4 linked regions of the Arabidopsis thaliana genome follow. The protein of the gene in region 2 interacts with the protein of the main gene of each other region in a pairwise test. Each region holds a gene or a part of one and is shown on either strand. Other genes may lie near its edges.

The links.
Region 1: the proteins of TCP10 (region 2) and HEC3 interact in binary tests that used the Arabidopsis thaliana proteins (3 or more experiments, as listed by UniProt).
Region 3: the proteins of TCP10 (region 2) and AFO interact in binary tests that used the Arabidopsis thaliana proteins (3 or more experiments, as listed by UniProt).
Region 4: the proteins of TCP10 (region 2) and ERF4 interact in binary tests that used the Arabidopsis thaliana proteins (3 or more experiments, as listed by UniProt).

Annotation. Positions count from the first base shown.
Region 1 is NC_003076.8:3,022,902-3,030,312, reverse strand, and holds HEC3 (basic helix-loop-helix (bHLH) DNA-binding superfamily protein), read left to right. Parts: upstream 1-3,198; 5' UTR 3,199-3,237; coding exon 3,238-3,912; 3' UTR 3,913-4,204; downstream 4,205-7,411. Other genes in the region: HAM2 (histone acetyltransferase of the MYST family 2), read left to right, coding at 5,602-5,908, 6,254-6,342, 6,445-6,504, 6,589-6,798, 7,065-7,133, 7,303-7,411. UniProt on the Arabidopsis thaliana protein: Required for the female reproductive tract development and fertility.
Region 2 is NC_003071.7:13,217,452-13,226,218, forward strand, and holds TCP10 (TCP domain protein 10), read right to left. Parts: upstream 5,159-8,767; 5' UTR 4,619-5,158; coding exon 3,533-4,618; 3' UTR 3,527-3,532; intron 3,412-3,526; 3' UTR 3,027-3,411; downstream 1-3,026. Other genes in the region: EMB2785 (elongation factor family protein), read right to left, coding at 1-3, 103-253, 448-522, 755-1,093. UniProt on the Arabidopsis thaliana protein: Plays a pivotal role in the control of morphogenesis of shoot organs by negatively regulating the expression of boundary-specific genes such as CUC genes, probably through the induction of miRNA (e.g. miR164). Participates in ovule development.
Region 3 is NC_003071.7:18,625,562-18,634,762, forward strand, and holds AFO (Plant-specific transcription factor YABBY family protein), read right to left. Parts: upstream 5,219-9,201; 5' UTR 4,992-5,218; coding exon 4,878-4,991; intron 4,868-4,877; exon of another isoform or gene 4,757-4,867; coding exon 4,595-4,756; intron 4,501-4,594; coding exon 4,368-4,500; intron 3,793-4,367; coding exon 3,744-3,792; intron 3,654-3,743; coding exon 3,578-3,653; intron 3,160-3,577; coding exon 3,082-3,159; intron 2,967-3,081; coding exon 2,889-2,966; 3' UTR 2,691-2,888; downstream 1-2,690. Other genes in the region: AT2G45180 (Bifunctional inhibitor/lipid-transfer protein/seed storage 2S albumin superfamily protein), read left to right, coding at 816-1,220.
Region 4 is NC_003074.8:5,117,925-5,125,827, reverse strand, and holds ERF4 (ethylene responsive element binding factor 4), read right to left. Parts: upstream 4,407-7,903; 5' UTR 4,357-4,406; coding exon 3,688-4,356; 3' UTR 3,266-3,687; downstream 1-3,265. Other genes in the region: AT3G15200 (Tetratricopeptide repeat (TPR)-like superfamily protein), read left to right, coding at 6,768-7,903.

The sequences.
Region 1 (7,411 bases), on a different chromosome or scaffold from region 2:
AATGAGTCTACTGTCTACTTCTCGTGTATGTAGCTACAATACGGCATTATGCGTCTATGCATGGATACTGGAAATACGTTTGTACCTGCAATAATCCAAGAAAATGAAAACCCTCGAAGTCAATTTCATATGTGTAATATTCTTCCCCTCAAAAACAAAAGAGAAAGAAAAATAAAGTGAAAAACTCATTAAAGAGTTTTCCATAACACTAACACTTTCGGACCAAACAAGAGACTTCTTCACTTTTCTTCACTGCAGCTTCCCATGCCTTGTAATCACTTTTTTGTAGACTTTTTAGATCCTCTCGCGAAAGAGAAAAAATAAACATGTTTTTTTTTTTTGCTACTCCATTTTAAAAAACTTAGCATCATTACTAATATTATAACACATAATCTACCCTCGTAGTTATAGAAATCAATACAATAACGCATATATATCCTACCTTTTTCGTCTAGCTTTATTTTTCTTAACTTGATATATAGCCAATTTGAAATTTTATTTTTGGATGAATTAAGCCAAGTGGTGAACTGGTGATTACTTATACATTTTCTTTTTTGGTTTGATCATTTTTAATGACCAAACCTAACCGGTGAAATTGGAGTAAGATAAAGTGATATCACTAGATTACAAAGTGTTCAAATTTGGAAAGAAACAACACTGAGTTTTTCTTTGTTTGTTCTTCTCCATGGTGGAAGCAGAAAGAGGAAATCCAAAAAAGAAAGAAAAAGAGAAGTCGCTGTAAGAGACCAGACTCTGAGGAAATGAGGGTGTGGTTCTTTGGGAATCGTAACGCACAAAGACGGAAGATTGTATCGCTATTAATAAAAAGGAGGAAGAAGCACAATTGCTGAAAAAAATAGTTATATATGTATGGCCTATATATATATATAGTTATTTAATGCTTTTTTATGTACGCGATAATTTGGATGAAAATAATGGAGATTGTCAGATTTTATGATTCAATCTTCATCGGAAAATGTTGCATAGTTATTTCACCCACTCACGTGTATATGTACTATATACATTTACACTAGATTCATCTAGTTAGGGTTTACGGTTACACTTTATACACAGACGAAATGGGGGCCGCTTGAGCTGTCACATGTTTAAACCATATCATAATAGATAAGCTAGTGATAATTTGCTTAAAAGAAAACATGATTTAGTAAATCAATTGCATTCAATTTTTGTTTATTACAACTCGGTATACATTTCGAAACATATTATACAAGCTTTATAAACCATTATGATATTTCACATCACAGTTGCAGAAATGTACATACAACCAAAAAGGAAAAAGTAATAATAAAATACTATATGTATTCTAAATGAAATCATAGATTTAAGAAGTAAATTAAATTTATGTGTCTTATATATTCTATTATTTTACATGTTTTTGTGGAAATTTAGAAACTAGCTGTCCAAAATGAATCATTTAACTTTCACATGTATGAAAAATATTAATAGACTTAATTAAAAAACACTCTAAATTTATGATCAGGCAATAAAAAAATTGTTCATTGCTCCAATCCATCCGAATTTGTATTATATAAAATACATGGCAAAATAAAACTTCTTTTAACTAAACTATATTATATTATAAGTCTTGCTCATGACTGTTATATACTTTAATAATATGATCGAATGCTAGCTATTATATTAAATACACAGTTACTCTTTTAATTGCGGTTTTCATTTTAAACCGCTATAAATGCGAAAACTATATAGTGTATACTTATATCGAATCAAATTAATTTCCAAAACTTGTGTGTGTATAAGTAGATGTTCATACATGTAGTTGGCAGTTGGGTGGATTTAATAAGAATATAATATACAGTGAACAATGGATTAATACCAAAGAAGTAACCCTATAATGCATGATTGCAGCCTGCATGCGCAATTTGTATGATTATAATGCAGACCAAATCATAACATATGTGCAAAATATACGCTTATATCTCATATATGTACATATACATGTGTATTTATACATTGCTTTTGTGTTGAGGCATATGACATAAGAAACTTGTCACATTAAATCAGAACCGTCTGATTTTTGTATAAACGGATCGAAACAACGTATATAAATTTGCCTCTTTTGAAGTCTCATAAAATTTCGTGTATTTTACGGATTTGTGTTTGTTTTATACACTTGTATACAAGAACGTTGTTACGTAGATGTGAACTTTGTTAATAAAAAGCAGAAATTGCTTCATGGAAAATGATATATTCACCACCGTCTTATATAAACGAGTCACGACGATGATACACGTCTTTCTTATTAATGACAATCATGGATAACACCCAAATGTTGAAGAAGCTAAGGTGTCCCCATGCGAGTGATTTGATGTTTGTTATCCTTATAAACCTTTAATCACGTCGCAAGTTATAGAATAGCTTTGTGGAAAAAAGCAAGTTGATCATTTGTTTTATAATAATATATAACATTGCGAGTTTCACACACAATTTACATTCAATATTGGACTCCATCGAGGGGAGAGAGAAAATCACGACCGTTGATCGGGATAAGAGTATAGGATCAACAAAATGTGCTATTTCGTGAAGAGACAAGAGAATGAGAGAAAATTTATCAAGATTTCCTATTTTAGTGAATGGGTTTTGTGAAGAGAGAAGGAGATAATTAAAGGGATTGTAAATTGAGAAGTCAGAATAAGAGCACACAAGTGGTGACATCTTTTGTGAATCAAAGAGAAACTCATGTTCATATAAAGTAATTCACATTCTTATAGCTAGTGGTTATTAGTTTATTACTTTGGTGAAAGCCACTTTCTCGATATACCCTAAATTCAAGTCTCAATGTGGGAGAGGGAAACCCTAGCCAACTCAAAACTATCTCATTAGTCAACTGGAGCTGCTCATTAAAAAAAAAAAAAAAAAAGCGATTATGCCAACTATATGTATACAAAAGTGCTACAACGTTTATAAACATTTTCGGAGCATAAAAAAACTTCTTATTCAACTATATACAATTTAATCTTTTTCTTTGGTAACGACTAGTGACGTCCACTTATTGAAAAGATACATATAAATAAAATTATTCTTTATTTTTTCTCCGAACCAAAATCCTTAATTGCATCACCAACCTAACCCCTCATCATATGATCACCTTTCTTTTTTTCCTTTAATATATATATATGCTCACACACACACATATATATATACATATAAGCATCGCCTCAAGCATTAAAATTTTTACGAACCAAACAAACAAAAATTATGAATAATTATAATATGAACCCATCTCTCTTCCAAAATTACACTTGGAACAACATCATCAACAGCAGCAACAACAACAACAAGAATGATGATCATCATCATCAACATAATAATGATCCAATCGGTATGGCCATGGACCAGTACACACAGCTCCATATCTTCAATCCTTTCTCTTCTTCTCATTTCCCTCCTCTCTCTTCTTCCCTCACAACCACCACTCTTCTCTCCGGAGATCAAGAAGACGACGAAGACGAAGAAGAACCTCTAGAGGAACTCGGTGCTATGAAGGAAATGATGTACAAGATCGCAGCCATGCAATCGGTTGACATCGACCCAGCAACCGTCAAGAAACCCAAACGCCGTAACGTGAGGATCTCCGACGACCCTCAGAGTGTGGCGGCTAGACATCGCCGTGAGAGAATCAGTGAGAGGATCAGAATTCTTCAGAGACTCGTGCCAGGTGGCACTAAAATGGATACGGCTTCAATGCTCGATGAAGCTATACGCTATGTCAAGTTCTTGAAACGGCAGATCCGGCTACTCAATAATAATACCGGATATACTCCTCCGCCGCCGCAAGATCAAGCTTCTCAGGCGGTGACGACGTCATGGGTTTCACCGCCACCACCGCCAAGTTTCGGCCGTGGGGGAAGAGGAGTAGGAGAATTAATCTAGACAAGATGACATTTCCATTAGTAGTAACTAAATTATGCTATAATGTGTGAGTAATGGTGCAATTATGGAAAGTGTTTATATATAATAAAAATGGATACGAAATAAGGGTTTGTTAGGATATATAATATATTGTTGTTGACCGTGAAAAGGTTGTGGAATAATCATAACGGTTAGCTTGAGTTGTGTACCACCATATATTTAATATTATGTTATCATTTCGTATATAATAATAAGTTCTTGATTTGGAGTTTGGTTGTATACAAGTTTTGGCCGGGCATTTTTCGGGCATAAGAACCATGACGCCATCAAAGAACCCTATTTAAATAGTGTTATCATTACTGTGGACTTTTGTCTTTGTATACACACAACGCATATATTTGTGAAGTACTATATTTTAGAGCATATAATATGAATGTACTCTATTGCTTCATTTTCATCTTTTTACGTACATACCTCACTTTGAACGTTAATACCTATACATATTGAAAATCGTTTTGTTATGATTAGAATAAGCTTTAAGAATTCCTAAATTACAATAAGCTTTAGGGCTTTTTTTTTAATATATAGCTTCACAACTAGCAACGAAAAATCCAAAAAGAAAAAAGTTGTTATGAAAATAATATCCGTACGTTTAGTCTATTAGATTATACTTGTTAGTATCCGATTAAACATCACCTGAAAACTAAAAAGTCTAACAGACTAAACGTATCCGATTATACTTGTTGTAAAAATGTTAACGAAAAATGTTTAGCTATAGTAACGTTTAGCATAATGAAAATTACGACAATCATCCCATAAAATGATGTTTTGTAATATAAAGTAATCTCAAATTACAACAAACCGATAAGGTATACAGATACTCTACTCCAGAAAGAGAGTATATATCGAGACATATTATAAAGAGGATGGTGCAGAGAAAATGTACTTGCTCGTTTTGTCTTCGAATTAATGAATAGAAGTTCAACTAAAACAGTTGCAAGATCTCTTTTTACCTTCCCAATAATAAAAAGAAAACCTTTGACTACAAACAAGCATTAAACCACCAGAGCTTTGCTCCACACTTGTTGGTCAGAAAATCTCAGAAAAGTAGCAGAGAGGTTAATTCAAGGAAACCTATGCTCCTTGTTCACTTCACTCATGGATACTTCCGCTGACTTTTGTGTCTCCTCACATTCATAGGTTTTAATAAAGACACAATGAAATGTCAGTGAGATTCATGGAAACCTAGCTATATCCATTTTGCTAACGAAATCATTTAATATATTTTCTTTCTTTTTGCCACATAGTTATACATTCATTCACATCCTAGAGATAATTGCAAGAACTTAACGTCTAACCAAATTATTTAGCTCAAACAATGCATTAATAGTCACTAAATAGCCATGGGTATGATTCATATATTTTCAAATCTAATTCGTTTTACTACAGAAATATTTCAATGTGATTCGAGATAATTCTTACATGATCAAACAACTTTCTAATTTTATGAATAAACTGTGATCCCGGTGAAAATGTATGTACTTCACACCATTAAATATCAATATTTTTAACGGCCCATAAATATAGGCCCAATTATGTGAAAAGTTACTAATGGGCCTGATTTATTTCAAGTGTCCGTTTTTCTCTCTCTAGTTCTCTTACTCGTATGAGAAAGAAAGCCCACCCGGGAATCTCCGACCCGACCGAGAAATGGGATCGTCAGCGAATACAGAAACCAACGGCAACGCACCGCCACCGTCGTCGAATCAAAAGCCTCCGGCTACGAACGGCGTTGATGGGTCTCATCCTCCTCCTCCTCCTTTAACTCCTGATCAAGCTATTATAGAGTCGGATCCGTCGAAGAAGAGGAAAATGGGGATGCTTCCTCTAGAAGTGGGTACTCGTGTGATGTGTCGGTGGAGAGACGGGAAACACCATCCGGTGAAAGTAATTGAGCGCCGGCGGATACATAACGGCGGTCAAAATGATTACGAGTATTACGTTCATTACACTGAGTGTATGTCGTTTAATTCCTTATCAAGTTTTGATGTAGGGTTTTCAATTTTGGTTGATTCGTACTGTTGAGCTTCACAAAGGTGGAAATTTAGTCAAGGGTTTATAATGTAGGAAGAAAAAAGAGTTAAATTGCAAGACTTTATCAATTGGATCATTGGAATTGGCTTCAAGTTGTGTGAGATTTTTGAGAAGGAGATCAAATTCTGCATTATACTTTGCTTCTAAAGATTTTGAACCATTTATACTATTGTGATTAAGCTGAGTAATATGATGACAAAGTTGGTGATTTTGAAATCTTATGATCATCAATGTGTTTGATTTTGGTAATTTGTTTTCGAAACTGCAGTTAATAGGAGGCTGGATGAATGGACTCAGCTGGACCAACTGGACCTTGATTCAGTAGAGTGCGCTGTAGATGAAAAAGTGGAAGACAAGGTGCGTTCTCTAGTTTTGTATTGTTAGTTGCATAATGTGGATTTCATGAGTTTTCTCATATACGTTTAGCAATGAGCAGAGATTTATGTCTGTGGTTTCTAGGTAACAAGCTTGAAGATGACACGTCACCAGAAGAGGAAGATCGATGAGACACATATAGAGGTAATGAATGCCAATATAAGGCGGGTCCTGGAAACGTAAGGTTTGTGTTGATTCAGTATTCTGTGTTTCGAAATGTTTTTATAGGGTCATGAAGAGCTGGATGCAGCAAGTTTGCGTGAACATGAAGAGTTCACGAAAGTGAAGAACATATCAACAATTGAGCTTGGAAAATATGAGATTGAGACTTGGTACTTCTCCCCTTTTCCGCCAGAATACAATGACTGTGTGAAGCTCTTTTTTTGTGAGTTTTGCCTGAACTTCATGAAACGCAAAGAGCAGCTTCAAAGGCATATGGTGAGCAACTGTTTTTCTTTATCTTTGAAGTCTTATGATGCTTTTTAATTACATTTCCATTGCGAGCTTCAATAGTCTGGTTTCACATCTGTATTCTATGTTTTTGCATTCCAGTTTCATTGCTGAAGATAGTACCCAACCTTTCAGATTCTGTTGAATATTGTCACTGACTTGCATATCCACATTCACGGTTCATTAAAGTTGCATTTATATGGTTTTATTTTATCTTGTAGCTTTTGTATAATTTCCTTACTTTTTTCCTGCAGAGGAAGTGTGACCTGAAGCACCCACCTGGTGATGAAATTTACCGAAGTGGTACCTTGTCAATGTTTGAGGTAATATCCTGAGATAGGTCTCTGGTCTTCTTGCTCTGGATATGATGTATCGTTAGCTTTCTCTTATGTTTTTTTTTTTCGTATATGGATGCTGATTAGTTTATCTCTCATCTGGTTATGTTCTACATTAGCAGGAACGTTTTTCTCTAACCGTACTCTCATCTTACAGGTAGATGGCAAAAAGAACAAGGTTTATGCACAGAATCTCTGCTACCTGGCAAAGTTATTTCTTGACCACAAAACTCTTTACTACGATGTTGATTTGTTTCTATTCTACG
Region 2 (8,767 bases):
TGACTGTAAATAAACGAAGCAAGAAAAAAAAGGATGAGAAACTAAACAAATTAAACAAGACCAACAAGTTTTACTAAGAAAGGGAGTGAATGCAATGCATACCTGAAGGTCGATCTACCTTGTTTAAGAGAAGGATTGGGCGTAGTCCATACTTCAAGGCTTTGGCAAGAACAAACTTAGTCTGTGCAAGAGGGCCTTCTCCAGCATCAACAACTAATATAGCTCCTTCAACCATACCAACGACTCGTTCAACCTATAATTCAAATACACAAAATAGTCACAAAGATAGCACCTATGTTCTACAGTAAGGAGTATCCTAATGTCAACAGACCATGAGTAGGTATTGAGAACTTCTAATTAATTTATCTTTTGTCCACTAATATGCATTTCTACTAAAAACGAGCATGAGAATCAAATAATACGCTAAAAGTAAGATCAGTATCATACCTCACCACCAAAATCTGCGTGACCAGGTGTGTCTACCATGTTAAGTTCGTTGTCCTTCCAAAATATTGATGTCACCTGTCGGAAAATTTGACATAAACTTTAAATGTCGTGTAACGTGGTGATAAATAACAAAATCTCAGGGAATCGGTAAAAGAACACATCAAGTTACAGACATAACAGAACAAACTGAGAAAAAAAAAAGAACAGAACATAAATATGCTTTGATAGAGTCTCAGAATCATTTTCAAACAGAACCATTTTCAAAATTGTGAAGTAACAATTAACTCTAATTCCAATCCAAACATACGAAAGGCGATACCTTTGAAGAAATAGTGATCCCTCGTTCACGCTCAAGATTAATAGAATCCATAGCACGCTCGTGAGGGATATCAGCACCACACTGACGAAGAAGCCTGTCCATAAGTGTTGTCTTCCCGTGATCGACATGAGCTATCACAGCCACGTTTCTTAGTCGATTAGGGTCAAGCGAGCTATTAGGAGCTCCGGCTGCAGCTGTGGAAGCGGTGGCTGCTGAAAAGGAGCGTAAGGAGGAGAGCGAGTATCCGAATTTGGAAGGTGATGAATGAGAAGAGAAGGATCTTCGAGTGGTGTTTGACCAAAGAGATCGAAGCAAAGGCCCCGCCATCTTTGTTCACGCGAAATGGTCTCTGATAGGGTTTTAGATCTAATCTCTGGTGACGATGACCAAAGGGTTTTTGGTCTAAAACTGTTTGGAATTTATTTGATCGTTATTTACAAAATAGGACATTATCACTTGTAGAATCTTATATTTTCCCTATACTTTTCAATTGCTTATATTACTCCCACAGTCCTATTTGATTATACAACCATGGCTTTTATAGTTTTATGTAGAAATTAAAACCTCTCATTATGTGATATTCGGTTTTTCCATTAATAATAGAAGTGATTCCGATAAGTTGATACATATAGCGAAGATGAACTGAGAATTTGACTCAGCTTATATGGATGAAGTGGTTTACATATTGTTATGTAATATTTGTAGGACGAAAAGGAGAATTCATGATAGATTTTTGCAAACTTTATAAATCTATTTATGATCTATCCACAAATGTTCTTAGAACTCTTTATTATTTTTTATTTGAGATTTGATAATATTTAATGTTGATCATATATATTGTATTATGGTAAAGTTTTGTTGGTATTTTGGTTTATGTGGATGATACCATATGATATTTTGGTTCTTTTTTGTAATTGACAATTCGGCTATTTAATTACTTCCAACTCAAGGATCTTGGTCATCTTCGGTACTTATCTATTTTGGAAATTGTTAGATAAAAAAAAAACCATTATGTTTGTCAACGCAAGTTACATCTTCGAGATGTTGTCTGATAATGTTTCTTTTGGTGGTAAACAAGGTCAATTCTCATATGCACCAAGGGACATATAGTTCATAAGATTGTTTGTTTCTTAAAGGAAGCATTGGACAAAGCTTGTTTTTACTTTGCTGCTCTAGACCTATATATTTGAGGTTTCACTGCTTATGACTAGGCAAGTTATCCACAATTTCGTATGTACTATGTATCTTGGATTTTATGTTCAATGAAAATTCATCCATTTCATTGTCTATCAAAGCTAAATACAAAGTTATGGCTCTTGGAATTTGTGAACATGTTTGGATTGCCTATATTATGTAAATATATATTTTGGTTTTATATTATGTAAATATATAAAGCATGCTTCTTATGCTCTCTCTGTGTACTCTACAGTGACAACACTTTAGCTCTTCATATTGCTCGGAATCTTATTTTCACGAAAAAAACTAAACACAGAGACATATATTTTCATATTGTTTGGCGTATCCGATATAGTTTTATGAAGGGTGTTTGATTTTGATTGTACCGGTTTGCTCTACCGCATTCCTGTCTGTTGGTTTAGGTTTGTTGGGTTACACTTACATATAGTACAATCCTTTTGTAACAAAACTGTAGATGGAAGTTGTAATCCTTTTGTTGAACTCTTCTAATAATCCAAGCACAATCCATAATCAAAAGGCCAAAGTAGTCATTCTCGCAGTAGATGACTTTTAAAAGTACGAACATTCTGTAGCTTTTAACGTCTTGTATAAAAATGATGATCATCGTTGGGAAAAATATTAATGATCATCATGTGACAACAAAGTACAAACTCCTTTAACCTAAATATATTATCATGTATTTCATCAAACCAAATATATGTACATATATATATACTATATGTAAAAGTGCCAAAAAGTGATAAATGTCATTCTCTATATAGCCCGCCTATCTATATGACTAAAACAATTATTTCAAGATGAATTATAGAAAAATCTTCTGTCAAACCCAATTAGACCAAGTAAAGCAGACTAAACTATCGAGATCCTTTGGTATCACTGTCACAAAGCATTGAATACTCAATAGCAACTTTTTCATAAAAATCCCAAATTTGTAATAAATTTGACTTTTCTATTAAATAGTCGCAACTTTTTAGCAAGCTAAGCTATATTACAAAAGAAAATTGGTATCTGCACAGATGATAATGAACACCTTTTTCTTCATTACTCATGTAATACGACCTATGCTTTTAACGTTCTTCAATTACTCTTTACTTAACCGAAGAAATAGAAACCGCAAGTAAAAACCAGAAAATTCAAACTCACTCGTAGAACAAAAATATGAGATTACAATATCCCAGCCTAACGCCAGTACTAAACCAAAACACACATAAAACCCATCTTTTCAAATATCACAATCTTGATGATCAATGCAAAGATGATAAGAAACAAACAAGCAAAATTGAATAATAATAACAAACACTAAATGAGTAATAATAGTCTTGAATCATAAATATATGGATAGATGGTAATACTAATTAATATAGCGCTTACTCTAGCTCCATTCATCACATTAATTTCCTCCTTCTTGTTCAATGCATGTCATCATGAATTTGAACCTCCATGGTTGTCTGAAAGAAATACATGTGGTAATTTAATTATGAAAGATTTAATTATTGTCTGGTTTCTTGATTAATAACCTATTATACTTAAAATATATAAATACATTAAAAAGAAGAAGCAAACCTTAGTTTAGAGGTGTGAGTTTGGAGGAGAAGAAGAAGAGTTTGGTTGAGTAGCTTCTTCTCCGTGGAGTAGTCTTGTAGTGTTGGGGAAACTAAGGCCTTGCATCATCATCATCCCATGAGAACCATACTGTGATGATGAAGCAAACATCGAAGAAGCTTGATTCTGATGATGATGATGATCCGACGTCGTTTGATGATGATCCCAAGAACGAAACGAATGAGGGAATAAACTGGACTGAAGGGTACCCCTTTGTTGTTGTTGTTGTTGGCCACCAAGAAACACTTGTTGTTGCTGACTATTAAGCAATGTCATCATCGACGGTTGATGATGATGATGGTGAGGATGATGATTCACCATGAAACCACCATTACTCCTTTCTTCTTGTTCTTGTTGTTGATGTTCTGATGAGGATGATGACGTCATAGTTAAGTCGTGATGATTCCATCCAGAGATTCTCCCGAACGTGTCGAAATGAGTCGTGGTGAAATTGTTGGTCTCGGGAACTACGACTGTGTTGTTGTTCCCTTGAAATGGGTGAAGAGAGAGACCAAGATCTTGGCTAAGGTTTGGTGGTGGTGTTGTTGTTCTTGAGACCATGTTGTTGTCATCCTGATGAGGGTAGTTTTGGAAATTGATGTTTGTACCACCACCACCGTTTGTTGTTGTCGTCGCCGGGAAAAACGTTTTCATTGCGTCTTCAGGATCAAGATTGGCCGCCACGAACTGCGTTTGGTCATTGTTCTCTCTTTGGAAAACCAAAGTGGGAGATTCCGGTTTAGTATTCACCGGTTCTTGACGAGTAGTAGTAGTAGTAGTCTCCCCGAGTTCAAGCTTATCAATAGCGGTTTTGGCTTTCTTGATGAGCCAATCAACGGCTTTGCTAGGCCGGTCATAACCTAACCGGTCTTGCACATCGTAGAATTGAATCGCCGTGTGAGCTGAGAGTCTCACGCGCCGGTCACGTGGACCCTTTGATGTGAACACTTTGCTATGACGGTCTTTGCGTCCAGTGGCTCGGATTATGTGACCGCCTTGAACCTCAACTATCTCTCCTCCTCCTTCTCCGACGCTATATCCTTTAAGTCCCATTATTTTTTTACCTTTCAAAATGACATTCCAAGAGTTGTTTTAACTTGGAAGAAAAACTTGCGTGCCGTTTTTGTTGCCCACTTGCTTTGTTTACCTCTTCAAAATGCTTGCCGTTTTGTTGTTATTGTGGTGTTTGGTGTGTAGTGAGTTAATAACATCTGATGCAGGCTGGACACAGCTACCTGAAAGCTGCTACAAGAAGCAACTCTTCTATGCAGATCCCCAAAAGATCTGCCATGGCAGTCACAAGATTCAATGACCCAACATACCCAAATCAAAAAAGGGAAAAAATGAAGAAATATTTAGAAGAAAAGAGATTGGAATCTTTAGTCTAGGGTTTTCCCAAAGAGATGAGAATTTGGACAACAAAATTGATATTAAAAATAAAAGAGCGAGAGAGAGAGAGAGAGAGAGAGAGAGATGCTACTTTAATATATTGATATGTTTAGTTGGTCTAAAATCGAAGGACAAGAAGAAGAAGAGGAAAAAAAAGAGAGAGAGTATACTATTAGATTGTTGGTGGAAAGGATAGCAGAAGTTAAGGGTTCAGAATAGGAAAGTAAACTAAATAAATACCCTTTTGCTTTCAACCTTTTGTTCCTTATTATAAGATTCCTATTTCACATATCAACATGTGTCCTTGTTAAGTTCTTAGCCACATATTTGTTTATTTCAAATTTTTTTGTTACAGAAAAATTCCTCAATCATTATTCTTCAATCATGCGTGCCATATCGAATTCTTGAAACATACATAACTATATATATCATATAATAAGGAATATAGGAAAATTGAAAAACATCAATAAATGAACATATATCATATCTTAGTTACACCAATTTGTAATATTTTGTTTGGTTAATGTCAAATCCTCCTTCACTAATTAATTAAAACTTGAAAAGCATATGTTTCACACAACATACACACACATTGGTCGGCTTAGGATTACATGCTAATCAAAGTCGACAATGGAATAATTTGACTCTAGTATGATTTTTTTTTTTGGTAAGCTGAGGGGTGGCAATTGCCTACCCCAATTTATTAAGAACAAACTACAAAAAATTACAATAAAACAGCTCGAGGGAACTCTGTTCCATTAACATCTGCGAGCAAAAGTAAACGGACTCCCTCTGGGCATGCATCAAAACAATGAAGCCCTAGCGGCAAGGTAAAGGCATAGTTTGCTAACCCGTCAGCGAGACGGTTAGCTTCCCTATACACGTGTGACACACGGACTAACCAGTCCCTCGTAAAGAAGCCTTGGCACAACCGTACCAGGAAGGACAGCGGATGAGCGTTGCTTACCCCTGTGCTTAAAAAACCCACCACCAACTTGCAATCCAAGTCTAACTCCACTCGTCGAAACCCCTTGTCCCACGCAATGAGCAGCCCATAGTAGGCGCCCCATAACTCGGCTAATGGCGCTGCACAAGATCCAATGTTTAGTGCAAAACCACCTAGCCACTCCCCCTGCCCATTCCGGATGGCCCCTCCTGCCGCAGCCAGCCCGTGATTCCCACGGGACGCTCCATCCGTGGTAATTTTCACCCACCCATCGCTTGGAACCTGCCACCTGATCATTCTTTCCACCCGCACACCATTAGGCCGGTTACCAACAGCACCAACATGTACTCTCCTCACCTCCTCCGCCATGTCTTTGATGAACTTCAGCCTGTCCCGACAAATCTTTCGTTCCCCAAACACATCACAACACCTCCACTTCCAAGCCCACCAAATTCCCATACCAAAAAGAGTAGGCCAAATCCCCTTTACTGGATCCATATTTGTAAATAACCACTCCAATAAAGACTGGCTAAAAAACTCATGATGTCGTCTCAGTGGCAGCAACCGACGCCAAATCGGTTCCATAGCGGGGCAGTCACGCAACACATGGAGTATTGTTTCCTCGGCTCCATTACACACCGAACATATAGCATTCTCACTCAAATGGCGCCGGACTCTCTCCACATTAGTCATGATCACATTCTGGCTCACCAACCAAATAAACACCCGTACTCTCTCAGGCGTGATCAGCTTCCAGATTCTGTTAAAGAAGCTCCCCATATTCGGCCTGTCTCCAACGTCACCTTGTAGGAGGGAATACGCAGAGCGGACTGTGAAGGCCCCATCCTGTGTACCCTTCCATGATATCTCGTCTCCATTACCCAGAAAAACCTGAACCACAACCGAGAGCAACCGCCTCTTAACTGTCTCTGGCAGATACAAACCCAGAATTTCCAGGTTCCAACCTGATCCCGGCAACCAATAATCGGCTGCCACCTTTATTCTCTCCCCCTCCGGTATCATATCAGTCCCAAGCTCCACCAACGGCTCCTGCAACAGCCAGCGATCCAACCAGAACCTTATTGTGCACCCATCTCCAGGCACCCATCCAACGCCCTTAACCACCACTTCCCGGAGCCCTACTGCCACACTTCTCCACGTGGAGGACCATCTTGGTTGTGGTTTCAGCCAGCTAGTATCTTGTACTCCACCCACTTTGTACTTTTTGCGAACAACCCGTGCCCATAAGCTCTCTTTATCTTGAAGCAGACGCCACCCCACCTTGGCTACCAAGGCCTTATTCATATCACGAGCAGACCGTAATCCGATCCCTCCCTCAGCTTTCGGCTTACATATCTTACGCCAAGATAGCAAGTGTTGTTTTTTCTTCTCCATAGTACTCCCCCAAAGAAAAGTTCTGGAGTATCTATCCAAAGTATCAAGCGTAGAGACCGGTAAAAGAATCGCACTCATTACATGAACCGGGATAGAAGACAGAACCGCTTTTGTCAGAGTGATTCTCCCTGCCAAGCTCAAAGATCGGCCCTTCCAACCCGCCAACCGAGCTGAAACTCTTTCCAACACTTCTCCAAACGTCTCCTTATTCATTCGTTTCTGTAAGATTGGCATACCCAAATACTTCCCCAGCTCTTTAGTGCAACCAATCCCACTCTCTTCACTTATCAATTGCTCCATTTCTCTACTCACATTGTGAGAAAAAAATATTTTCGACTTCTCTAGGCTGACTTTCTGTCCCGAGGCCTCACAGAACCGTTCCAACACCCGACGAATGATCCTAATTTGCGCTACCGAAGCTTCTGCAAAGAGAATCAAGTCATCTGCGAAGCAGACATGTGACAACTTCGACCCCCCACATGACACTGCTATCGGTTTCCATTCTCTCTTTCCAACTGACGCCTCTATCAAATGACACAGTCTCTCCAAACAGAGTACAAACAAATACGGCGACAACGGATCCCCTTGTCTCAATCCCCTAGCCGGTACAAAAGAGTCTGTTCTCTCACCATTCCACAGTACACTCATTGAAGGGTCTGTAACTCCTGCCATTATTCTGCTTGTCCAACCCTCAGACAGTCCAGCAGCTTCTAACGTTTCCTGAAGAAAATCCCATCTAACACGGTCATAGGCCTTTTCAAGGTCCAGCTTGAGTAACATCCAGCCTTTCCGCCCCTTCTTCCTCCTCATAGAGTGGACTGCCTCTTGTACTAACACAATGTTATCAATGCTCAAACGCCCAGGGATGAAACTCGCTTGGGCCGGCCCAATTAGCTTAGAGATGACATTCTTCAACCGGGTCACCATCATTTTCGTAATTATTTTGAATAAAACATTACATAAGCTCACCGGTCTAAACTGCTGAATGCGTTCCGGCTTGGCCACTTTAGCTATTAACACAAGCAGAGCATCATTCGTGGAAGCTGGTAAAACCCCTGTCTCGAAGAATTCCAACACAAATCTCGTCACTGAGGGTCCCACTGTCTCCCAACACTGTTGGTAGAAGACTGGTTGATAGCCGTCGGGTCCTGGTGCCTTAAACCGTCCCATACTCTTCACCGCACTAACCACTTCAGCCTTCGTAAAAGCTTGGAGCAACGCTGCCTTCTCCGCCTCTGATATGGATGCAAAGCCACCAGTTGGCAACATATTTCGGACTTCACTAACATCTTCCAACGAGTACAGCCGCTTATAATATGTTAAAGCCATAGCTTCCAGCTCCACCTTATCCGTCACCCACCTATCATCATCTCCTTTTAATGACTCAATCCTATTCCTCCTTCTGCGGATAATTGTTGAGGTGTGAAAGAAAGTTGTATTTCGATCACCCAACTCAATGTATTTCTCCCGTG
Region 3 (9,201 bases), 5.4 Mb from region 2:
TTCTTCCCAACTTTCAATTTGTGTGTATAGTTTGTTCTCAATATTTATCATTTCTCAAATAATTGTGATTACTATCTTCTTTTCACTTGTTAAAATGTACATAGACTAATCTTATAATATTATCTTCCTTTGGTATTATAAGTTTGTGTGGCTTTCTTTCTCCCTCAAAGATTTCATTCATTAGACTGGTATCATTTGATGATGCTACTACATGAATTCTTTCTTGGATACTAAACGGACCACTCTAGAAGGTATCTTACAAATTTGGATAAACTAGACCAAACCAAATATTGGAAACGAGTAATGATGAGATGTAGACTCTTTGAATTTTGTTTTTGGGATTATCTTGTCCAGTTGCATTTGGAAATATAATCGGTTGATGCTGAAAGATCTATCATTCATAAAAAAATCTAAAGGAATGGGGACTAATGCAATGTAAAACAATATCTTATCAACAACGTATAATGGATCTACACAACTATGATCAAACTGATGCATACCACCCAGAGAGACACTCTGTCTCAAAGTTTGTGGAGCCTCTTCTTTCACAAACAAACAAGACAAAAATCTTGTCTTTTCCCTTTCTGTGATAGAAAAATAAATTAACAATTCCTAAAAAATAGTCTAATCAATTTCAAGACCTCAAGTTGCAAAAGCCAACTAGCTGGATAGTTTTGTTTCTTACTCTAATTTTCTTAAGTCGCTCACATGCTATTTTATCTCTCGGTATATGTAATTAGTAATAACTTGTTCTATATAAACCATGTCCTATATCTCTCCTTCACATTCATCCCAAAACATTACAAAACGTTACAATGGCTTCTAAGGCTCTTGCAGTTACAGCTCTTCTTATTACACTTAATCTTCTTTTCTTCACCTTTGTAACCTCCACAAAATGTCCACCAACTACTCCTAAACCCCCAAAAACCCCGAAATCGCCTAAGAAGGCTCCTGCCGTGAAACCCACTTGTCCTACCGACACACTTAAGCTTGGTGTTTGCGCAGACTTATTGGGCCTAGTTAACGTTGTTGTTGGTTCTCCACCAAAGACTCCTTGTTGTACACTTCTTCAAGGTCTTGCTAATCTTGAAGCTGCGGTTTGTCTCTGCACCGCTCTTAAAGCCAATGTCTTGGGGATTAATCTCAATGTTCCTATTGATCTAACCTTGCTGTTGAACTATTGTGGCAAGAAAGTTCCTCATGGTTTCCAATGTTCTTGAAGATTTGAGACTTTAAAAGAGAAAAATCTCTTTGGTTTGCTATGTTTTTATATGTTTGTTTCTACTGTTATCTATTGTTTTTGTGAGAAAAAGCTTTGTTCTGTCACTGTTGAGTTTGATGTAATGCTTGAGCTTGTTCATGATAGAACCTTTGTTCTCTCAATATTGAGTTTGATGTAATGCTTGAGCTTGTTAATGGATTTTATGTTCTTAGTATTTCTCCTCTCGTCCATAAATGACATTCAATCATAACGCTCTTCTATTCGTGCTCATGCTTCAACGCCTCTATTTGGTTTAGAGGGTCTCTACGTGGTCTCTTATTGGTTAATTATTATCCAACCCAACATAGGCCCATATGGACCTATAAGTCCAGAACAACATGGACCACATTAGAAAGCGAAAGGGTAAAGCCGTCATTGTTGCATACAACACGTAGAAATTAGATGGGTCTAGAAGTAACGAAACACTGCGTTTTGTTGGATTCTTCTTTTGGAACTCGTAAATTGACAACTAAGCTTGTTTACTCGATGTTGGGGAGTGTATAGTACGATGATCGGAAAATGAAATAAATATAGTCGGAGACTGAAGAAAACTATTCTGAGAAGCAATTTCCGTTGGGATCCGGTGCTAAGGATTTAAATCATTTTTTAGTCCAAAAAAAAAAAGAAAAAAAAAAGAAGGATTTAAATCATTTTATTATCATCGCATTATTGTATACCAGGCCCACTGATTGCTAAGGAAACTCGTCATTAATATTAATGGGCCGAATTCTAGTAGGCCTGATAACATATAGTCACTTGACCCAAAACGTTTTTTTTTTGTTATTTATCATGCTTGCTCATATCCTAATGTCATTTTTGTTTGATTTGCTACTTATATCCACCGCTCTATATTGCACCAAAAGAAAAAAAGACGAGTTAAATTTAAGTCTGATATACACTTTTAGATTAGCTTATTGCTATCACTGAATTTTTGATCTTACGAAATAAATTTATCTTAACTTTTAATTTCCCTCTATTTTGACAACAATTGTCGTTTGATGCATGCCCCAGTTCTTATTTAATTATACCATATCACTATTATAAAACCATTAATGGGAGCAATAAGATTGAACCATATGCAACAATCTCAAGAATCAGATTTTGAATGGAGAAATTTGAACAGAATCACATCGTTTTACATGTTTTCGGGAAGCAAATGCTTGTGCATATTTCCATTCTTAGTTTAGTTTGAATTTTGAAATGTAATATGATCATTCCCCTCTTGTTTTCTCTTCGGTTAAATTTTTGTGATATATTCATTCTGGAGGAAAAAAAGCTTTGGATTAATTGGTGGTTGTAATTTCCTTTGAGTTTCTTTTACATATGGCGATGGTGTAAAAATCTATTAAAAAAGTCTGATTATTTAAATTTCAAATTCGGCTTTCAGTAATAATAAGAAAACATTTTGATAAGTTAATTAATTATACAACTACAAATGAAAATTAACTTAAGAAACCCCATTAATTAGCAAGATTTTTGATTACAACAACAGAAAAAGACACATGCATATTTATAATATATATAAATAAGTTCAAGAAAGGAAAAGAAACCACAACTTTTGGACATGATAAACCCTAAGAAATTGGATTTCAATTCCTCAAATACTTAGTCGATTATATTTATCTCTTTAATAAGGAGTCACACCAACGTTAGCAGCTGCAGGAGCGTAGAACCCTTCTTTCATCACCATGTTATCCTCTCCCTCCTACACACATGTTTAAGATATGATCCAAATCAATTGAAATTATATTTGTATATATGATATTACATAAAAGTATATGCATTAAAGATGTAAGGTATGTCGACAGATTAGGGTTTACCTGTTGGGGCATGTTGGTTTTCTTCACGGGTTGATTGTCTGGCACGAGCCCGAAGTGTATGTGGGGGAAGTGGGCCCACTGCATTACACATAAACAACATACGTACAAGACACATATCAACTTGTGTTATAACCCGACAAAATTCTTTACTCCTAATTTCAGCTATACCTACATATATGACTGTTTAATATATATACAACTAATACAAGAGCAACTATACGCATAGATAAAATCAAACCCTAGTTTCTGCCGGCAATCTAAACCAAGTTGTGATGTTAGTAGTATCAATGGCTTAAATTCTTTAGTAAAGGAAAACAAAGAATACTTAAAACGCATCACTTCTAACTAGAATTTTCAGCGTTTAAAAAAATAATTTTTTTATTGAACTAGAGATAAATATGGATTATCAAGGACTCTTTTGATTATTAAAATTTGATTCAACCAATGGATAACAGTTTAATATAAATTTTTGGGATGTGAGAAATAAGGTTCTTACATTCTTGGCAGCAGCACTAAAGGCTTCTCTGTGGCTTATATCAGGATTACCAGCTTTGATACGTTGGATCTCCTCCCTAAAATAAAAACGTGACAAGGAATTATATTAATGTTACACAGTTATGGTTAGAATATGAATGATTGTAAAAATTAAATAAGAGACTCACTTGATGAATCGGTTATATGCGGATGGGACTCTCTGTCTTTTCTCTGGAGCTGGCAATGGCGAAATTCAACGGCAAAGACAAAGCGAAAAAACAAAAACTCAGACAGAAAGAGACAAACACTCATTAAAACTACTTTCATTGTCTTTTTTCTCTCTCACACAAATACTTTCTCTCTCTAACCCATCATCACTTCATCATGTTTTTTTAAAGACAAGCCCATCTTCTAACATATTACATAGATTTTTTCTCTTTAGCTAGATTTCCGGGGGATCCATGAATCTATCTCCCCGTTTCTTTTATCGTCACTATTTTAATGTTTACCAACGCTAAAAGCCATCTAGGATATGTAGACAATCAACACATACTAAAGTTCATGGATCAATGAATATTTTAAATATACAAAATCATAATCTCTCATGTCTCCTTCTAGTATACAAAGAAAAGAAAGGTAAAAAATCTCCTTCTAGACTTAATTCAATGGTGCTAGGGTTTGAACGAGATCCAGTGAAAGTTAAATAAGAAAAGCTATGCATGTCTTAATGGCGATTCATCATCACAACCAAATTATAAACACGGTTAGCATAGAAGTTAATATCATAAAAGTGAGAAGAATTAGTATCTTACGGCGGTTAACGGGTGGTGCTTTAGGAATCTCATGTTGTTGATGAAGATCCATGAAAGATGGTATGTCATTCATAGTAGGATGTTGATTCATCATCATCATATTCATGTTAGACGGTGCATCTCTCAGCTCCTCCTACAATAATATTTATATCCTTGAGGCTTGAGATTACTTCCAATAAGCTAAATGAGACCCTATAAGATTATGTATTTGAATTTTGTTTAAGTACCAGAATATCCTGGGGATTGAAGTAAGAGTGAGGACCGAGCTGGAGCTGGAGCTGGTTAGAAGCTGGGAGGACATATGATCTCATGTTCACCGAAAGGAGATTGGTACAGCAACCACATCGGACAGTTACGGTCTTGAACAAGCTTGTGTAAGGAACATTAACCTATAAGCACACAAAAGAAACAATGAATTTAAAAAACCCCTAATCTTGTATAGATCAAGAAGATGAGAAGTTGGAGGAGAAAAAATGAGAGAGAAAGTATTGAAGAGAGGTTATTTTGTACCGCAAGGATGGTTTGGCAAAAGTTGCATTGGACATAGCAGAGATGGTCGGAAGGAGAGAAGTGGTCCGGTGAACAAACAGCTGAGGAAGGGGAGGACATAGACGACATAGACATCTTTTTTGTAAGAAGGGGAAAAATATTGGAAGCTGATCTTTTTTTGGGAGTGTTTGGGGATTTGATTGATTGATGGGTATTTGACTGATCAGAGGATTCTTGATAAGGAGAAAATAAAAAACCCCACCATGATCTGATCTTCTTGATTGTTGGGTTGCTGTGTATTATATACCACAAAGGAAGATATATAGAGAGAGAAGAGGTGAAAGGAGTGAGAAGGGAAAGGGGATATTAATATATTAGAGGGTAAAAATTAAACAACAAATGCTCTAATTGTAGCCTCTAGGTCGTCTACTATTAATTTCGTTAATTAATTCGGTAATACTGTGTGTATATATATAATGTGGTGTATTATACATTTCAATTCAGCGATACATATATTCTTTAAAGAAATTCTCCAATGGGTTATATACAATTTTAGGTTTTGAATAGTATAACAGAGTCAGCGGTAGTGAACCAGCAACATAAATGGAATAAGTTTGGATGGTGTAGAACAGATAACACAAACCAAATAAAAATAAATATGCCGGTGTTTAATAAGACAATAACTATTTATATAATTTTTCATTAAATCAAGTGGCCGAATAAAATTTATGATCGATAAAATAAACATACATTAGTTTTTTTAATAAGTTTCGGAACTACACCCTAAACACCATTTGAATAAGCAGTTCATTTTTTTCACAAACAGTTTTTTTTATACCTTTTCCGTATATTCTTATAAATTGTATTGCCACATAACAATTGAATTGTACCACCACTATACCGCACTCTTTGTTTTTATTTATCACAAAATGCATAATCTTGACAAGTGGATCCAGATATTAAACAAATGTTAAATTACTTTGAACATAATATTAATTGACAAAAGAATTGGACAATTTCTTTACAAATATCACTTCTTTTTTTTTGATAAAAATATACATCTCACTTAGATCTTTTTTAATTTTTAATTAGTCAAATGATGCGAGTTATTATTAAATCTTTGTTGTCAACATCCAATATAAGATTTCTTTTTGATAATGCCTATATTAGAAATTCGGTTGACCATGCGGTCTCACCCTTACTAGAAAACGTAGACATTAAGCATCTATACCGTTGTACCTCTAAGATGACCTTGTGGTCACAAGGAGACAAGACTGATGACAAAATAGTTTTGAGGATATTATCGCTTAAAGATGGACCTTTTTCTATCTGATCTCAAACAATTACAAACCTAATTTTGCAATCAATTAAATTTTGGTCTATACAATTAAAAGCACATGTTAATATATGAAAATAGCTATAGGCATTTATGTTTCTATATAAATAGAACAAGAAATTCTAACTAAAGAATCAAATTTATAGCTACTATACAAAACTTTCGACAAAAATATGAGATTGGATCAATATAGCGATGACCACTAAACTACAAACCACTTCATGATCAATTTTGAAATCTTAGGAAGAAGATATTGTAGTACTAGTATGAACAAGGGAAGATTGAGGCATACATTAGAAGATTCGCGAGCTTAGGCTTTGGGGTTGGGGTTGCACGTGATGACACATGTAATGTGTTTGCAAGTAAGTTAAGAAACGACGAAGCTCTTGAAAAAAAATTTAAGTGAAAAAAGTTTTAAAGCTTTGACAATAGAATTCGCAGTTCCCAATGGAGGAAGAGAAGAGAGGAGAGAGAGAGGGCGGCAGAGGTGGGGGGAAGAAAGGGACGTGTGCATGGGAGTGATTAAGCGTCGCCTCATTCACCCGTTGTTGTCATTCCTTAATTACCACTGCCATTACTTTTTCTCGTTTCTCTATACAATTCCTTTCCTATTTTTTTAATTTTTTTTTTAATTATTAGTATTTAATTTCAATTGAAACATACTTTGTTTTGTTTGTTTGTATCATGTATGTATATGTAGAGATAAACATGATGCTCCATTTTTATTGATTGGTTATCATTAGCTTTTTAGTCAATTATATGATTGTTTTTTCCCCCTCCATTTGAATATTTGGAATCATCCAAGTCTAGACTTTCCATGAAAGCGAAAGTAAATTAATTCTATTTTTGTAGTTAAAATTTCCGAGTTAACCGGCTGCTTATCAATATACTAGTTTTATATTTCCGTTTAACTTAAATCGTTATTTTGTTGTTTTAAAATATTTGGCATTTATCACTTAATAATTTACGCACGCTCTCAAATGTGTATCCGAATTTCATTGATTAGGATAAGGAAACTATATGATTTATCTTCCTAGCTATTTTCTAGATTACAATTTTATTTTTAGTTTGTATTGCTTTTGCTGGATAAGAAAACTCTTTTTAACTAAGAATTATACAAGGGAAACAGCCAATATACTAATGTAGTGTTTCTCAATGATAGTTTTAAAAGCGCCATGAATATGTACGTATATATAGGAACACCATATTGGTGAAAGCCACGAGCAAAACTCCACACGTAATTAATTTCAAACCTACATATGATTTTATATAATATTCCATTCTCATTTCAAGTATAGATGTCTAAGAAAATATCTATGCACCTACTTGCGAAAATGATGCAATGCATATATCATATATGTTTTGTCCCACCAATTGAAAATAACTCCTTAGCTTGTATATCAATATTAATTAGTATTTGTTACTAATCGATCCGAAGAATCATAGAATTAGATTATGTAATGCAAAATCAATCGTGTTATTGCTACTAGTATTTCCTGCCCCCAAACAACATTTAAGTGGTTAAGTTAGTTAATATTTCGTAATCTCACAAGCAATTATTCATATGGTTGTGCAATCCCTAACATTCGGTTACCGAAAAAAACACATTATTTTGTAAATTCAGCATAACTTAACATATGAAGAATCAAGCTCCGAAATATTGCAATCAGCTACTATTTATTGCCTCACAATTAATAACATTTAAGTGGTCATATAAGTGTTTGACAAAGAAAAAAAGGTGGTTATATCGGTAAAAGGTCGACCAAAGATGCAAATATAAAAGGCGGAAGTTTTGAGTATTAAGGCGTGCATAATTTTTGGTTATAAGGAAGGAAACGTTGAAAATGTTGGTCTGATCATACTTTACTAGAAACGTATATAATGTTAGGGTTAGCCCACACTTTTGTCGCAATTTGGGCGATGGGAATGCAGAGATAGTACACACATGTATTGGAAATTTAAATGTTTATATACATGCATGTATGTGTGTTCTGAGATCATAGGCGTGACATTGACATTTCCCTATTCTTTTCTCTTCTGATTGGTTTAGAAAAGCTTTTGCCATAAACCCCCAATCTATTTGTACATCTAATGAGAAAGTACTTACAATTTAATTGAAGCAATAATTCATACTCTCCACTTCTCATATATATGCATGATTATGAAATAATTCTTTCAGTTTTTTACTTTTCGAAAAAAGTAACTAATTAACTTGCCAATGATGTTTCAATCAATTAATTGATATCCATTAATTAAAACGAACTTAATTCTTCAAATGGTGTGTGCATAATAGATTGTCTGGGGACTTTCTCCTTTCGAGAATAATATATCATCTTTTACTTATTATATTAGTTTTGTTTTTTTTCACAAACATCCAAATTGTAAAGGTATAAACTGAACCCCACATGTCTGAAAGTAAATATTAGTGTCAATGGAAGTCAACCATCATTTGTCTTTGGAGATCAATTATAGACACTAATCAAGTTCACTACAAAAAAGTAGACAAAGCCCATTACTATATAAGAAATAGCAACAGATGTTGACAACTTTTAAAATATCATCTCACAAATTTTATGTCGTTTAATATCAAATTTATCAGCACCGACTAAAACCGTGTTACATGGCAGTACACTTCAATTGTTAATACTATTTCTGCTTCACTCGTTAAACTCATTTTAGCTACTAAAGACATTGAGAAGAGAGTACTACTTGTATTAGTTAAATATACAGTAGTTTGAACCATTCTAGTTCCGAATAGTAAAAGTATGTACGCATCTATAAGATCAGAAACTCTGTTGTTTACAAAATTAATAAAAACAAAAATGTGCCCTATGCTTGCTACTTGGCAGGGATGAGTTAGAAATGGGCTGTTGCGCAGAACAAAGAATAATGGCTTTTCAAAGTATCATATTTTTTATATATACACACATTCCTATATACATACATAGATGTGTGTGAATAAAGCATTTACTTATTCTGTGCTTGAAAAAGGTATCAGATATGAAGACT
Region 4 (7,903 bases), on a different chromosome or scaffold from region 2:
CATTAAATAATACAACTAGGTTTATCAAATACATTAACTTTTCTTTAACGAGTGAATAACAAATCAGGGTGAGAAATGCGTTTAATCAAAATATAACTACATAGTGACTTTCAAAATATTCAGACGATTATTTGGAGAGTTTTTTTTGTCCATAAACGAAAAAAAAGAGACACGAATGTGTATGTGATCTAATAAATACGTAGAATGGAAATAAGTGGTCCTTGTTTTGGTTACAGGGTTCTATAGTAAGCAGAACTCTAAACACGTGGCTCACGCGCCGCGCCACAAAGCACTTGGACCCAATAGGGACCCGTTTCACGCGCGCACACACGTGGGAATGATATCAGCGTCACACAGCCGACGCAACCATTTCTCTATAGTGACTGTCTGTCACGTTACGACATTTCACGACGCCACCTGTCCCCATTTTTGGTAACATGTGTCCAGGTGACGCTATCTGCGTGGCTTCTTCACATTGGTTCAAACTTTATTACCAAAAATACTCCTTCTATTATTCTCATTCTTCTTCATGCGAACCCCTTACCTTTTTCAGGAATTCAATTTTTGTTAGTGCAAAATTTTATGAAGCTCTCGTAGTCTTAGAAACTTAGGATTGATAAATGTTACTAATCATTATTTATAGTTAAAAGAAAATTCGATTGAAAACTGATCTAATACAAAAACCATCTTATTGAATTTGTTTATGCGTGTTGTACTCGAGTAATAAATTTACTCAAGGAGAAAAATATCTTCTCCAATTAATGAAATGCCGGTGAATGATGTTACTTTTGAAACTAATATTGAAGCGGTGCGTAATGGATCTGTAGTTAATTTCCTGTGAGCTTTTAATGCAGTGTGCCATAAAAATGGATGATTGGGATACTTTTGTTGAGATTAATAAATGATAGGGTTCTCTATGTAAAAGACCAAAAGAAATGAGATAAATAAGCAATATAGATACATTATGTAGCCGACTTCGAATCGGGTGAGAAGAAAAAGGAGGGAAAAAATCTGGTTGGTTGGGATTGAGATTCTGGATGACCTTAGTATGAAGCGTGTGGGTTCCACCAAGAAAAAGCGGCCGCCGCAGCTAATCTTGTTTCACACGTGTCTCTCAGTATTTTATTTTTGGTTAAGATTTAAAATGAATTATTATTCCCACTCGAATATTATAATGCTAATATATTTTTAATTAAGATGTGATCCTGATATCCATATCTGCAACTAACCTGTATTTTATTAATTCTACACATGACCCATCATCCATGTGTATAATTAGTATGCCTATTTCTCTGCATATTCTTCTTCTTTTTATTTTTTTTAATGTAAAAATTAATCTTATTGTCTAAAGTTTCTGGTATTGAAAAATTGTGGGAGGTGGGGTTTCTTTGGGACAAGATGATGAGATGAGGGGCCAAAATGAAATTACCTCAATTTACGGAGTCCTTCACGTAAACAAATAAGGCTAGTAAATATATAATAAATCAATGAAATGAAAAGAAAGACAGTGAGAATCAAACTTTATCGGACGGTGGAGATGCACGTGAAGACAACCCAATATCCCGACATAAACCTCGTCAACACGGAATTTACATCCCATGCCACTTTCACACGCGCCATATGCTCAACCACACACATCTTCTGTAAAAATTCCGGTTTTCACTTAAGAAATATGTTAACAGAGTCAATCGAACCGGATTTTTAAGGCATATTAGGTCAATTATAATTGGTGGACTTCTACTTGGATAACTACCAATAGGAAAAGTAAATATTAATTTTTTTATTTTAAGTGATTTTATCTTCATGAACTGTTACGGGCATACAATGTTTTCCTCTGCAAAATTGTCTCTCTTTTAAAAACAGGAGTTTAACTTATCAAATTAACTTCTAAAATATACCTCAACTATTCTGTCTGAGTGAAATTATTTGAATACGATAAAAGATGCGTAAAAACATTCTTTATTTCTAGATATATATATATATTTGTAAACATAATTTACTCGCTATAAATACTCTCTTTGAGAGGACAAAGACTTTGAAATAATACTACTAAAAAGTCTTATTCTCATAAATATATTATTAAAAAAAATGGGAATGTGGGCGCCACCGTCTCTGATTCGGTCTCTTCTGAAAAGGATGATGATGACTCGCGCTGCTTGGCCGTCGGTGCCGCTTCACTCTTTTTTTTTTTTTGCGTAGTTAATAAACATGAAAGTGTATGATCCAGACACGTGGATAAGAATAGAATCTAGCCGTTGGATCTACACGAGAATCACGAAAGGATAGTTATTGACTCTTTCTGATTGCGGAGTTGGAGACAAGAATCCAATCAAAAACCTCTCTTCTCTGCCTCTCATTATGAAGCCGCTTTCTATTTCACACCCTCTTATACGTCGTCGTTTTCTTTCAAACTTTTAACATCATTGTTTTGTACCTATATTTACATTTTCAACACATCACGCCATCATTCAATAAAAAATTTCGCAAGTTAAATTTACTTTCCGCACAAATTTAAAACAACGAAATAAAATTCAAAAAGACCAGCCATCTAGAAATAATTGGCCAAAAGAATATCTATAAATAACACTATTGTTAGCTTAACGGGTCAAATGATGTTGGTTTAGTCCAATTCAACTCCGAATCAATTCAATGTCATAGTTTAAAGAAAATTAATTTTGCACTATAAGCTATATATTCTAAAAGCTTTCAGATAAAAAAAACCAATATCTAGACTAGTCATAGTTGTTTCTTTAGAGACTTTGTGTACTCTTTTTCCATTTTTTGCCGACAAAAATTTGTTTACGAAACTAGAGATCTTTCTTAAAAAAAATTGAACAAAATCTTATCTTTGTTTTGTGGCAGTTTCTTTTCCAAATTTAAGAATCTATCAAATTAAAAATCTAGGTTCTCTCTGTCAGACCTAAAGAGTGTTAACTCTCAGCTTCAAGACTCTTCCAAGTTAGCTAGAAAGAAAAGAAATGAGTATGTCCGTACTCTGTGAGTGGACCCTACTACTAAGTGACGTAAGCGCAAAGAATTTTCTAACTTACGCCGCAGAGAGCAAAACGAGGGCCCACACACGCCGGCTGCGTGTCTGCTGGAAACTTGGACCATTGTTAAAAGCCGACGATACTCAACTACCATTTTATTAATCTCACTTTGAATTTTAGTTTTTCTTATACTTCAACTTACAATTATTTTGTTTTGTCAAATAAGTAATTTTAGTCCCTTCAATTTTTTTAATTTGGTGGTAACGATAGAAAAGGAAAGCCAATAGAAGGAGCCGCCACAACCCACAAGTAGTAATAATCAAAATTTCGGAAATTGGATTGGACAAGATAATTCTGAAGATTACCAAATTATTGATTGAAAATTTGGAAGAACAAAAAAAAAAAAAGTAGTAAAAAAAATAGAGAAACAACATGGGGTGAAACCAAGTCGCAAAAAATTAAAAGCACACAACAAAAGTTCAGATCTCCGGTTATGTAATAATATGTACATAACGATCCATGTCAGCTAAAATTATATTTTTCTCTCTCAGATTTAATCTGTTTTTTCTTTCTAAAAACTGGTAATAAATTTAGACTGAGAGAGAGAGAGAGGAAAAACTATGAGAAAACGAATTTTCACAGCTCAAAAAGAAGAAGAAACGCATGCGCTTCGAATTGAAACGACACCGTTAAAAGCTCAGGCCTGTTCCGATGGAGGAGGCAAATTAAGATCTAGATCTAACAGCTGAGATCTCTTCTCCATCCCACCTTCGAAATCAACGACCGATGACGAATCAGAGTCGCTTTGGGCACCACAAGCCATCTTCGTCGCAACATGCACCACCGGCGATCTAAACGCCGATGTCACAGGAGGAGGCTGACCACGACCTACGTTACCGATCCCCATCAGGTCCAAAAAGTAGACAGGACGCGACATCGGGATCTGATAACACGAGCCGCCGCCTCCTCCGCCGAGACTAAGCTCGAGCTGCGGGGGAACATTCCCAGCCGTCGCTGAAGGCACAACTAACGTCGGAGGAGAAGCACAGTCGAGCGTGCTGCTCTGGCTAGGGCTACGCGCGAAACCGGTAGGGACCTTCTGGTCACTCAGCTCGAGAAAAGTTGGGAAATTGGTCTTAGCCTTAGCACCACGAAAATCACGCGCCGCCGTATCGTAAGCACGCGCCGCCTCTTCAGCCGTATCGAAAGTGCCAAGCCAGACGCGGGTTTTCTTGCCCGGATCTCGGATCTCGGCGGCATAACGGCCCCAAGGACGCTTCCTAACGCCTCTGTAACGAATCTCCTTGGCATTATTGTGGGTCTGGTTAGTAGTAGCCGGGTCGGGTTTCAAGCCCATCTTGGCCATTCTCGGATAGATAGATTAGAGAGAGAGTGGTGGTGTGATAGATAATTGAAGGGAGAAGAGGAAAGGAGAGAGTTGTTTATATATAGGATGGGAGAGAGAGTAAAAGCGACGCTCCTTTTGGGGCGCTTTGTTGTGAACAGTCAAAGCCTGAAATGGTTTTAGCGGCTTCTCTTACAAAACACCAGCGGTTTTCATGGTTTTCTTTTTTACCTCCACTTATCTTTTGCCACGTGTTTTTCTTTCCTCTTTCAAAGAATTTTGTTTTTCTTATCAACCCTTCATTTCTTTTTTAACCTCACCAAGCGTTTTCAATTTTTGTTGATCATCTTATTAATGAATTTATTGATGTATTTAAAAAGTTGAATACATTGTCAAAAATATAGATACAAATTAAATACATTAATTTGATTGACTTTAATTTTAAAATAAAACTTTTTATCACTGGATCTTTAATTTAATTATTAATATTTGGCAATGAGAAAATTAATTGGACTATGTAATCTTTGCATTAAAGTTCTTAATGAAATAAGGATAAATTTTGAAATATAGATCTTACTATGATACATATTTAATCAATCCGTATTTTGAATGATTTATTTTGTGGTGGAAAATATTGGATGCAAAGTCTTTTTTTTTTTTTTTTGTGTAAACTATTTTATCTAAAAAGTGAAATTCATTTGTTATCTGTATGTACAATGTACTAACAAACTTTTGATACAATTTGTAACAAAAAAACTAAAGAAATCCGTACAGTATTTGACGCATTTAATGGAGATGCATGTTGTTTGCTGTTTTGTCTACACAGCGTATTCCCTTGAATGCTGGTGATAAGATTTTGATTTTCATAACCGAGGGAATTAAGAATGTAATCCCACATCTTAATTTAATATATATAGTTAATCTAACTACGAATTGTCATGTGCCATTTACCCTCATGATTTAGGATATAACTACACAAGCTTGCTCTAGTGAGTACACTTGTAATGAACTCAGTTTGTTTTCTCATAACCTGTTGGATCAACCTTAATGCTTGCATAATTGAGAAAAAAACTTGAACAAATATGTGAGTAACTAATTTTTCAGATCATATCAATTTTGTTTTCGTATCTCAAAACTTTTGGTTTAAAAAATACCCAATTTTTTGTAAGACCAATAAACAACTAAAGATACTGTTATGTGTGTAAAAATTTGAAAATACAGGTAAATAAAGTCATACTATATGGCAGTGTGAGTTAAAGACAAGAGTAACTTCAAAAACTAGGAAATAAGTTAAGCAGCGGCGCCTGAAAAGAAGAGAGAAGAAGAAACCAAAGAACAGTATTGGATGACGCAAAAATGTAAAATACGTGGCAACACCTTGAGGACGCGCGGCTTGGGAACCGCGTTTCCATGTACGAGCGTGAATCTCACCGCCAAACACGTGCCGACGGCGATCGCGTGAAAGAAAGAGCGTTATGCGTGACTTCGTAGACTCAGCTCCAAATTCAACTTGGAGTTTGACTGCTTTTTCTTTCGCGGAATAAAACTAAAATAAAAACAAAAGGCTATTTAGCCGCCCCTCCGCCAAAGAAAAACAAAGATGGCCCACAACGCACTCGCTATTTAAATAAAATAGAAAGAGTTTTAAAGATGTATAGTGCCACGTGGTCAACGCGACGCGTGGAGAATGGATGAAGAGAGAGAGAGAATGGTGGCCGCGTCGGCTAACCGAGAGAGATTCTAACGGCGGTGGGCCCGCCGTTTGTTTTGTTCTTTGTTTCCTAAAAGACGGACGGTAATTACATTCTGACGGCAGAACAAGACGTGTGATTAATAGATTAGTTTTAATAAATTTTATGTAATTTGGTTGTTAATTGGCTCTTTTTTAATTGGTCTTTGTTTATTCTTTTACGACAGCTACATATGTCTTCACGCCATGGATAATGGATTGGGTTTCTTGGGCCACAGAATCAGCTGGATATCAGAAAATAAAAAGATTCATTTATTTAAATATATTATCTTTACGTTTCATTAAGAAGATACTACTGTTTAATTTTCTTAAACATGATTATAGACTTAAGCTAGCTTCACTTTTATGCTGTCTCTATATTCAAAACCTCTGTTTGTTTGTAAGCAAAACTTTCGGTACCAAACAATATCACTTCAATCGAAATAAATTCTTTATTCAATAAAAATTATTTTTTTTGTCCGAAACGAATGAAATTTCATATACTAAAATTTGTTATCATTCGTATTTTAATAGCAATCACTAACAAATAATGCTGTTCTTAAACAAATAATGATCATTCAACCTTACTAAAAAAATCCGGTTTAATTCATTTTTGGTAAAAAGATATGTATTTTTCATTGCAATTTTTGTTGTTGTATATGTAACGTTTTGCTTCGGAAGATCTTTAGAGAGTTTAGTGAAGATGGGAGGGAAAAACAAAATTGAAATCTTGTTTCAGCTACAAAGTGCTCTATCGCGGCGCCGGATCTCATCATTGGTCGATTTTCGCCGTGTTTTTCCTCCCGAGACACCGAATCATAAGAACAATATCACTCTCTCCAGGTTCCACTTTCTGGGTACACACTTTCTTCATTCTCTTGGAGCTCCCGACAAATTTCCAAATAGATTCAACGACGACAAAGACAAGCAATCTGCTCTTGATGTTCATAACATCATAAAGCATCACCGTGGAAGTTCACCTGAAAAGATTAAGCGGATTCTCGATAAGTGCGGGATAGACTTAACCGAAGAGCTTGTTTTAGAAGTGGTTAATCGGAATCGATCTGATTGGAAACCAGCTTATATACTTTCTCAATTGGTCGTTAAACAATCTGTTCATCTATCTAGCTCGATGTTGTATAACGAGATTCTCGATGTTCTTGGGAAAATGCGGCGATTTGAAGAGTTTCACCAAGTGTTCGACGAAATGTCTAAGAGAGATGGATTTGTTAACGAGAAGACGTACGAAGTTTTGTTAAACCGTTACGCTGCTGCACATAAAGTTGATGAAGCTGTAGGAGTCTTTGAGAGGAGGAAAGAGTTTGGGATAGATGATGATCTGGTTGCGTTTCATGGGCTTTTGATGTGGTTGTGTAGGTATAAGCATGTTGAATTTGCGGAAACTTTGTTTTGCTCTCGTAGAAGAGAGTTTGGTTGCGATATAAAAGCGATGAATATGATTCTCAACGGGTGGTGTGTATTAGGAAATGTTCATGAAGCTAAGAGGTTTTGGAAAGATATCATTGCTTCTAAATGCAGGCCAGATGTTGTTAGCTATGGGACAATGATAAATGCATTGACGAAGAAGGGGAAATTGGGAAAGGCTATGGAATTATACAGAGCAATGTGGGACACCAGAAGAAACCCGGATGTTAAAATCTGCAATAACGTTATTGATGCTTTGTGTTTCAAGAAGAGAATCCCTGAGGCTCTTGAAGTATTCAGGGAGATTAGTGAGAAAGGTCCCGACCCGAATGTTGTGACGTATAACTCACTTTTGAAGCATCTCTGCAAGATAAGGAGAACTGAGAAAGTTTGGGAGCTAGTGGAAGAGATGGA